Mus musculus: one gene and its partner. The protein of the gene in region 1 interacts with the protein of each later gene in a pairwise test. Links are inferred from orthologs where the notes say so. Each region holds a gene or a part of one and is shown on either strand. Other genes may lie near its edges.

The links. The genes of interacting proteins can lie anywhere in the genome.
Region 2: the proteins of Kpna2 (region 1) and Sertad3 interact in binary tests that used the Homo sapiens proteins (3 or more experiments, as listed by UniProt). The two-hybrid records come from large-scale screens. The link is inferred for Mus musculus from reciprocal best matches to the Homo sapiens genes KPNA2 and SERTAD3.

What each region holds. Positions count from the first base shown.
Region 1 is NC_000077.6:106,996,707-107,000,695, reverse strand, and holds the start of Kpna2 (importin subunit alpha-1), read left to right. Parts: upstream 1-1,170; 5' UTR 1,171-1,337; intron 1,338-3,360; 5' UTR 3,361-3,383; coding exon 3,384-3,458; intron 3,459-3,989.
Region 2 is NC_000073.6:27,472,499-27,476,675, forward strand, and holds the start of Sertad3 (SERTA domain-containing protein 3), read left to right. Parts: upstream 1-1,341; 5' UTR 1,342-1,373; intron 1,374-3,641; 5' UTR 3,642-3,644; coding exon 3,645-4,177.

The DNA.
Region 1 (3,989 bases):
GTTTTTTGTTTTTGTTTTTCGAGACAGGGTTTCTCTGTGTAGCCCTGGCTGTCCAGGAACTTACTCTGTAGACCAGGCTGGCTTCGAACTCAGAGAACTCAGAAATCCGCCTGCCTCTGCCTCCCAAGTGCTGGGATTAAAGGTGTGCGCCACCACCACCGGGCTAATAAATTATTGTTACCATATTTGCTGCTTCCATTGTCCTTTTTCTTTTTCTTTTTTTTTTTTTTTTTTTGCTTCTGTCCTGGAACTCACTCTGTAGACCATGCTGGCCTCGAACTCAGAAATCCGCCTGCCTCTGCTTCCTGAATGCTGGGATTAAAGGTGTGCGCCACCACTGCCCGGCTTCCATTGTCTTTATTTTCCAAGTAATCTAAAAGTTTACCACACGGGACAAAGTGGGGCATGTCTGTAATCCCAGAACTGACGTTGAGGAAGGATTGCATTAGGTTCAAGGCTAGCCTGGGCTCTATTGTTAATGTGAGACCCTGCCTCAATCCCACTCCCCATGATAAAAATTAAATAACCAGTAAATAGCACAAACAATAATATAGCGATACAACTAATGATTGCCTAAAGATAAAATAATCAACAAATACTATAAACAATATAGTGATACAACTAATGGTTAAGAGGCACACAGATCCACGTTCTCCCGGTGACCAGCTCCTGATGTAAAATTTTTTTAAAGTAAATATATTTCTCTTTTCTTTTATTGATTGATTGACTGATTGGTTGATTGAGACAGGGTCTCACTATTTAGCCCTGGTTGGCCTGGCTGTATAAACCAGGTTTGCCTTGAACTCCTAGTGCTGGGATTAAAAGCCTGCGCCAATCACCGCAAGCTAAGCCTTTTTTTACAAGTGTAATAATAATTTCGTGTGTTTGTTTAAGGACAAGCCCAGGGAAAGCAAACAGGGTACGGCCCAGTGTCCATCTAAGCATAGACGAAACGCAGGTCTCCATGCTGTGTGCTGAGATCTGGAGTCACCCTTCTGCAAGGCACCCTGGGATTGCCCGGCCGCTCCCTCATCTCGCGACGCTTCCCTGCTTACCGCCCCACCCCCACCTTTTTTTTTTTTTTTCCCCTACGACCTGCGTCTGCGTCCCACCCCCACCCCCGCCTAACGTGTTTTTCAAACCTACCAATGAACGCGCAGCTTAGGCTCAAATCAGCCAATCGGAACGCGGCGTCACCGGGAAATTTAAATCGCGCCGGCCGGCAGCACGAGGCACAAAATCTGAGGGCTGAAGGGTAGCAGACGTTTCCACAGCCGCCGACCCGCAGCTTGAGTGTCCTGCACCACCTTTCGTGGAAATCTGAGCCGGCTGTACAGGTAGGAACGGAAGCCGGTCCTGAGCAGTAACGGCCGGACGGAAGGCTGCGGGGCGGAGGGCGGGAGCAGGCCGCGCCCGGGCCGGAGCTGAGCCTCCCTGCTCCGACCAGGCCTCGGGGCGGGTTGGTTTCGCCACGCCGGGGTCAGGGTTGGCAACGCCGGGCGCTGCGGAGGGCAGCGAAGGCCTGGGAGCGGCTCGGGTCGGCGTGGAGGGACCGGAGGGCAGCCGCAGTCGAGCGGACCTACCTGGCTGTGCCGCCGCTTTCCTGATGCTTCTGCCCCGGGGAGGAGACGCAGCTTTGGGCAGGGGATGAAGGTGGCAGTTAAGACACCCCAGTTAAGCCCTTGACCCGGATCACCTGGGTCAGGGTCGAGGACGGACATAAAGCAGTTAAACCTACTAGCTTACCAGGGTACTTTGGGTTCCTGTCCCTTCGCGACGACCACACCTGGGTTCTATCGAGCCCCACTGATCACAGCTGATGTCATCCCGGCTGAATGCATTCTCTGGAAGTGTGTGCAAGATGCGGCGTTAATGCCATTGCTGACAGCGATGATGTGATGGAAGGCCCTATAATGGAACGAACCGATTCTTTATGTAACTTGCAAGAGGGTACTAGTATGGATCCGTTTTGGCCATCGATCAACAGAAAACGAGAGCTGCGTTTATTGCCTTAAGGACGTAGATGGTTGCCAGGCATTGTTGGCGCACGCCTTTAATCCCAGCACTTGGGAGGCAGAGGCAGGCCGATTTGAGTTCGAGGACAGCCAGGGATACACACAGAAACCCTGTCTCGAAAAATAAAACAAACAAAGGACGTAGATTGTTCTCCTACTTGGTGTTCTATTAACTAATGGAGCCTAGAATTTAGATCCTTGACTTAATACCGTGCTGGCTAGAGGCTTAAGACTATTGAGTGTTTGAAAAGCCGCTAATCTGTTGAGATGCCCCGTGTGCTTAAACTACCCATTGGATTTTGAAGGTGTATAAAAACAGTAAGACATCTCAATTTTTCTGTATTGATGACATCCTCAAATGGTAATAGTTTAGCTATATTGGGTAAAAGTCTTAAAATTAATTTCCTTCCTTCCTTCCTTTCTTTTTGTTTTTTCGAGGCAGGGTTTCTCTGTGTAGCCCTGGCTGTCCTGGAACTCTGTGGACCAGGCTGGCCTCGAACTCAGAAATCCTCCCGCCTCCCAAGTGCTGGGACTAAAGGAGTGCGCCACCACTGCGGGGCTCACTGTGGTTAGTGGAAATTTTAAATTATCTTTTTTTAAAATTTTTTTTGATTGACAGTTAAGTTGCCTTTGTAGTAAGGGGCAATTATGGCTTAGTATTATAGCCATAATGATGAAAACTTGTAGGATTTTGTTTTGTTTTTATTTTATTTATATATTTTTGAGACAGGGTTTCCTGAGTAGTCCAGGCTGTCCTGTAATTCACTCTGTATACTAGACTGGCCACAAACTCAGATCCGTTTTACCTCTGCCTCCTGAGTGCTTGGAGTGCTTTGCCATCACTGCCAGGCTGTGTTGTGTCGTCATCTTTGTTTTTGTTTTTTTTTTTTTTTTTTTTGGTTTTTGTTTTTGGTTTTTCGAGACAGGGTTTCTCTGTATAGCCCTGGCTGTCCTGTCCTGGAACTCACTTTGTAGACCAGGCTGGCCTCGAACTCAGAAATCCACCTGCCTCTGCCTCCCAAGTGCTGGGATTAAAGGCGTGTGCCACCGTTGCTGCTTTTTAAATCTAGTATAGAAATGGAGTTGAGATTTAGTTGATTATAACATGCTATTGTATATTTCTGTTTGTTTCATCTTAAGATAGGGTTTCTCTATGTAGACCTAGCTGGCCTGGAACTCTCTACAGACCAGGCTGGCTTCAAACTGATAGAGATCTGGTTGTCTCTGCCTCCCAAGTGCTAGGATTAAAGGCGTGTATTACTCTACCCAGCTTCTGTTGCATTCTTATTAAAAATACTTTTTCTTTGTTTCTTTTTTTTTCTTCTCACCCTCCCTTGGCTCCTAGCTTTCCTCCTTGTTCCTGCAGCCATGTCCACGAACGAGAATGCTAACTTACCAGCTGCCCGACTTAACAGGTTCAAGAACAAGGGGAAGGACAGCACAGTGAGTACCTTCTGTTGCTTTCCTGCGTGCTTGTAAAGGGAAGGGGGATGTTTATATAACAACAGTTCTGAGGGACTGGGGATTGAATCCTAGAGCTTCACACTCAGGCTAGGTAGGTTTTTTTCTGTGCCCAAGCTTCATCTCTAGTTTTAGGTATTTAAACTTTTAAAATTGCATTTATTTATTATTTACTTTTGTGTATGTGGGGGGAGGATTTTTATGTGCACCTGTTGTACATGTAGAGGAATTTCCTCCTCTACATGGCTCTGAAAGATTGAAGGCCTCAGACTTGGTGGCAAGTGCCTTTATTCGCTGAGCCATCTCTTGTTGGTCTTTGAAGGATTTAAAAAAAAAATCACAACTGGGTGGGGTGCTGAACACCTTTAATCTCAGCACTTAGGAGGCAGAGGCAGGTAGATCTCTGAGTTTGAGGCCAGTCTGGTCTACAAAATGAGTTACAGGACAGCCAGAGCTACACAGAAAAACATTGGCTTGAAAAACCAAAAAGGGGGGGAAAAAAAGGAGAGGGAG
Region 2 (4,177 bases), on another chromosome or scaffold:
AGGGAGAAAAGCCCTGTGTTTATTTCTTAGGAGATATTGGAAGCCATCTTAGAAAAACTGAAAGCAAGCTAGACAAGCTGGTAATGCCTAAATCCTAGCACTAGAAAAACGAAGCAGGAAGATGAAAGATTCCAGAATAGCTTAGGCTACACAGCAAAACGCTGTCTCAGAAAACAAACAAAAAAGTGGCTGGGGATGTAGCTCAGTGATAAGAGTACTTTGGCTAGCACCACCTCGGTGTTCCGTGCCCAACACCACAAAAACTAAGCAAAAGGAATTTTCTTTAGGGACACACCTGCAGCTCCAGGACTAGCAATATGGAAGCCAAGCATGATTAGAATTTCAAGGCCCTTGTCTACACTGGAGTCCTGCTTCACGAGACTGCCTAAAACAAAAAGAATCCGAAAGTGAGTCCTAGAAAACAGGAAGGAGGGTACCAGAGACCAAATAGTGAAGAGCAAGCTAACCCTTCACTACGAAACCATATCACAAAATTAAACACACACACACACACACACACAAAATTTTAAATCTTAGCTCAGTTCTACGGTGTTTGTTCAAAATGCTCAAATGTTAAATCCCCAAAACTAAAAATAATAATAATAATAATAAGTTTGAGTTTGTTCCCAGAGTTGTGAGCAGTCTTTAAGAGTAAACAGCAACAGGCAGACAAATGCGGAAAACGAAAGCGTTGCCTGGGATCCAGGAGGTTCCCCCAAACAAGCAGCAGACCCCTCTAGGTTAAGCATAGACTCCTCCTACAAGACGGGTTGGGGGTGGGGAAGCAGAGCTCCGCCAGCTAAGGGGCGGGGCTGCGGTCGTTCAGGCAACGCAAGCCGCATCATGCTATTGGCTGCTGTCTAGTGCGTCATCCCCCCCCCCGCCCTCCGGTTTGACCCAGCCTTCGGAACTCCGGGGGGCGTGGCCTCCACCATCTGCCCCAAGCCTGCAAAACCGCAGGGAGGGGAGAATGGTGTCACCCGGTGTCACTCTTCAGTGGGGTCTGGTATAAGGGGTCTGCAGTGAAACAGAGGAGTGAGAAACACAGCTGGGTCCAAAGTAGCAGTTCTGACGGCGTTACCAGACTCCACCGTGGAGACTCCGCTCCGCCCCCTGACCAGTAGCCAACCTAAACCGGACCCGGCCCAGTGATGGACGGGGCCTAGCATCCGTGGCTCCTCTTAGCCAATGGCGCCCCGCGGCGGGCAGGATTCCAACCAATCCTGGCTTGCGACTGGCCTCCGGGGAGGAGCCGAGTGGCCCCCAGCCAGACCCAGAGGCCCGGGGAAAGTGAGCCGGACTTCTACCCAGCACTGGTGGAACCCAACCCTGCAGGCTTGTCGGAGGTAGTCGTGGCGACCCTGGCAGCCGAGGTGAGGAGTGGCCGCCTGTGTGAGATTTCCCTGGAGTTAGAGGAGGACGGGGGCGCGCCCCCACGGTAGGCGGAAGCGGGGTATCCCGAGTGGAGAGCAGATTGGTGTGATTGATGGACATTGGAGGGTGGAAGGCTGAATTCCAGCATCAGCACCGAAGGGGGAGCAGGATTACTCAGGAGTTGGAGTTTGGAGAAGCCAGGAAAACGGAGAAAGAACTTTGGAGGAGAGTGTAGGACAGTTTGAGTCTCGAAGAATAGGCTGAGTTTGGAGTTCCACGGTGTTCTGGACAAAGTGAGCGTTTTAAGGCTAGGATATGAAGCATTTAGAGGAACCCGGGAACTAGAGGAACCGAGTATTGGATTCTGAGACGCCGTCGTGAGAAGGGAATGCCGGGGAAGAGTTCACTGACTGGGTCTCGGAGCCGGACTGGGTATTTGGAAAGCCAGAGTCATTTGAAAGTGGAGCCGAATGAGGGGAGATTTGGGACGAGGTCTCAGAATTGGGATATCCAGTTTCGCCGGCGGAACTATGTACCCGAGAGTTATTTGTCGTCTTTGGGCGATGTGATGGGATTTGGACCTCTGCACACCGAGGACAGTTTGGGGAAGAATCCAGAACTTCCTGGGGTGATAGGGACCCAGAGAAAACAGGTTTCTGACTGAAGCCTGGTGGGGGAGGGGCGCTCGGGGCGTGGAGCTCGGATTCACCGCCCCGAAGGCAGTAGAGGGCGGGGCTCGGCGGCCGCTGGGCAGCTGAAGTCCGGGTTCCCTTCCCCCACCAGCCGGAGCTCCCGTACGCATGCTCTCAGAGAGGGCGGGCGTGTCCAGTCTCTTGGGTGTGCTGGGCCTTCTGGGGATTGTAGTTCCAACGCGACAGCCGAAGCTCTGCCTGGAGCCTTTGGGTCCACAGTTCCCAGAAGGCCCTGAGGATACATTGAGGTGTTCTTGGGTCTGGTCTAGCGACCCAGGGAAGGGTGGTGCCTATAAAAAGAGATGATTGGGTTGGACTGGTCGCTAGAGGGTGCAGTTTGTGGTTAGTTTCGCTCTAGCTGGCTTTCCTTTGGGTCGGAGTTTGGGAAATACTCCCTCTCTTTTGAGAGGTCATAGACTCAATTGTAGGAAGCAGGTACGGACAGAAATATTCTTGTTAAAAAAGGAGAAAAAAAAAAGAATTTAAACACACACGTCCCAGCTAAGCCTCGTCTCACACACATTTAATCCCAGCCTTCAGGGAGGAAGAGGCGGTACGATATGAGTTCGAGACACAGCCTGATCCACATAGGGAGTTCCAGAGCAATACAGAGAAACCCTGTCTCAAGTTTGGGTTTGGTCCATTACTCTGTGCTCCATACCTGTTTGTCCTGTGACCTGTTAGGAAAAAAGTATTGTGGGAAAACAATAACAAGATCTATTGAGACCAGAGTTAGGATTTTCACTTTCCAAATGTTAAAATTGATTACCATAATGTAAATTCAACGTTGTGCCTACCACAGACAAGTGATACTCAAGCCATGCCCGGATGTTTTGGTGATTTGTTTTAGGGCTTTTTTGTTTTTCTGAGACAGGTTTGTCTGACCATATTAAACTCTACCTGCTTCTGCCTCCTGGATGGGTGCTGAAATTAATGGCATAGGACACCATCTGCAATTTTTTTTTCTGTTCATTTTCCTATTTTAAATTTTATGTGTATGGATGTTTTGCCTGCATGCTTGTCTGGGCACTACTTGTGTGCCTGGTGGCAAAGGAGGCCAGAAGAAGCCATGGATCCTCTAAAAGTGGAGTTTTAGGCAGTCCTGAGCCATCCATGCAGGTTCTGGGGATCGAACTTGGATCCTCTAGAAGAACAGACAGTGCTCGTAACCACTCAGCAATTTTTCCAGCTCCTTTTATTTTTGAGACACTGCCTAGCTGAGGGTGACCTTGAACATCTGAACTCACTGCCTCCTTAATACAGAGGAGGTGACAGCTACAGGAGTCTCTCCACCCTCACTACTACCTGCTCCCACTCTGTGTCCTGTGCACCCCTCCTCACACTCACTTACCAGTCCCAGCAATCCTATCTGCATCTTGTTCTCTCAATCACATTGCATGCATTAATTTACCCATTCTTAGCCTTGTGGGATTCTCTGTGCACTTTAAATGGAGGTTCTGATACACACACACATACACACACACACACACACACACACAAAAGCTTCCCATAGCTACACAGGCTTGCTTGAAGAAGTAAGGTCCCAAGGTATCTGACTCCACTCTTTTTTCACAGGACATGGGAGGCTTAAAGAGGAAACATTCTGATTTGGAAGAGGAGGAGGAAGAGGAGAAGTGGGACTGGAGTCCAACAGCTCTTCGGAGCTACCAGCAAGCCCTGCTCCGAATCTCTCTGGACAAAGTCCAGCGCAGCCTGGGCCCCAGAGCACCCAGCCTCCGCAGGCACGTCCTTATCCACAACACACTCCAGCAGCTCCAGGCTGCCATTCGCCTCGCTCCAGCACCAGCCCTGCCCCCGGAACCTCTCTTCCTAGGTGAAGAAGATTTCTCCCTATCTACCACCATCGGTTCCATCCTCAGGGAGCTAGATACATCCATGGATGAGATGGAGCCGCCTCTGAATCCAGCAGCTTCCTCGAGTCCCCAGAATGAGATCGTGTCCCAGGCTGATCCTGTATTCTTAGAAGCTCTGAGCTCAAGGTACCTGGGAGACTCTGGCCTGGATGACTTCTTTCTGGACATTGATACATCTGCGGTGGAAAAGGACGTTGCACTTCCACCCCCGGAGCCGCCGCACAGCCTCTTCTGTAG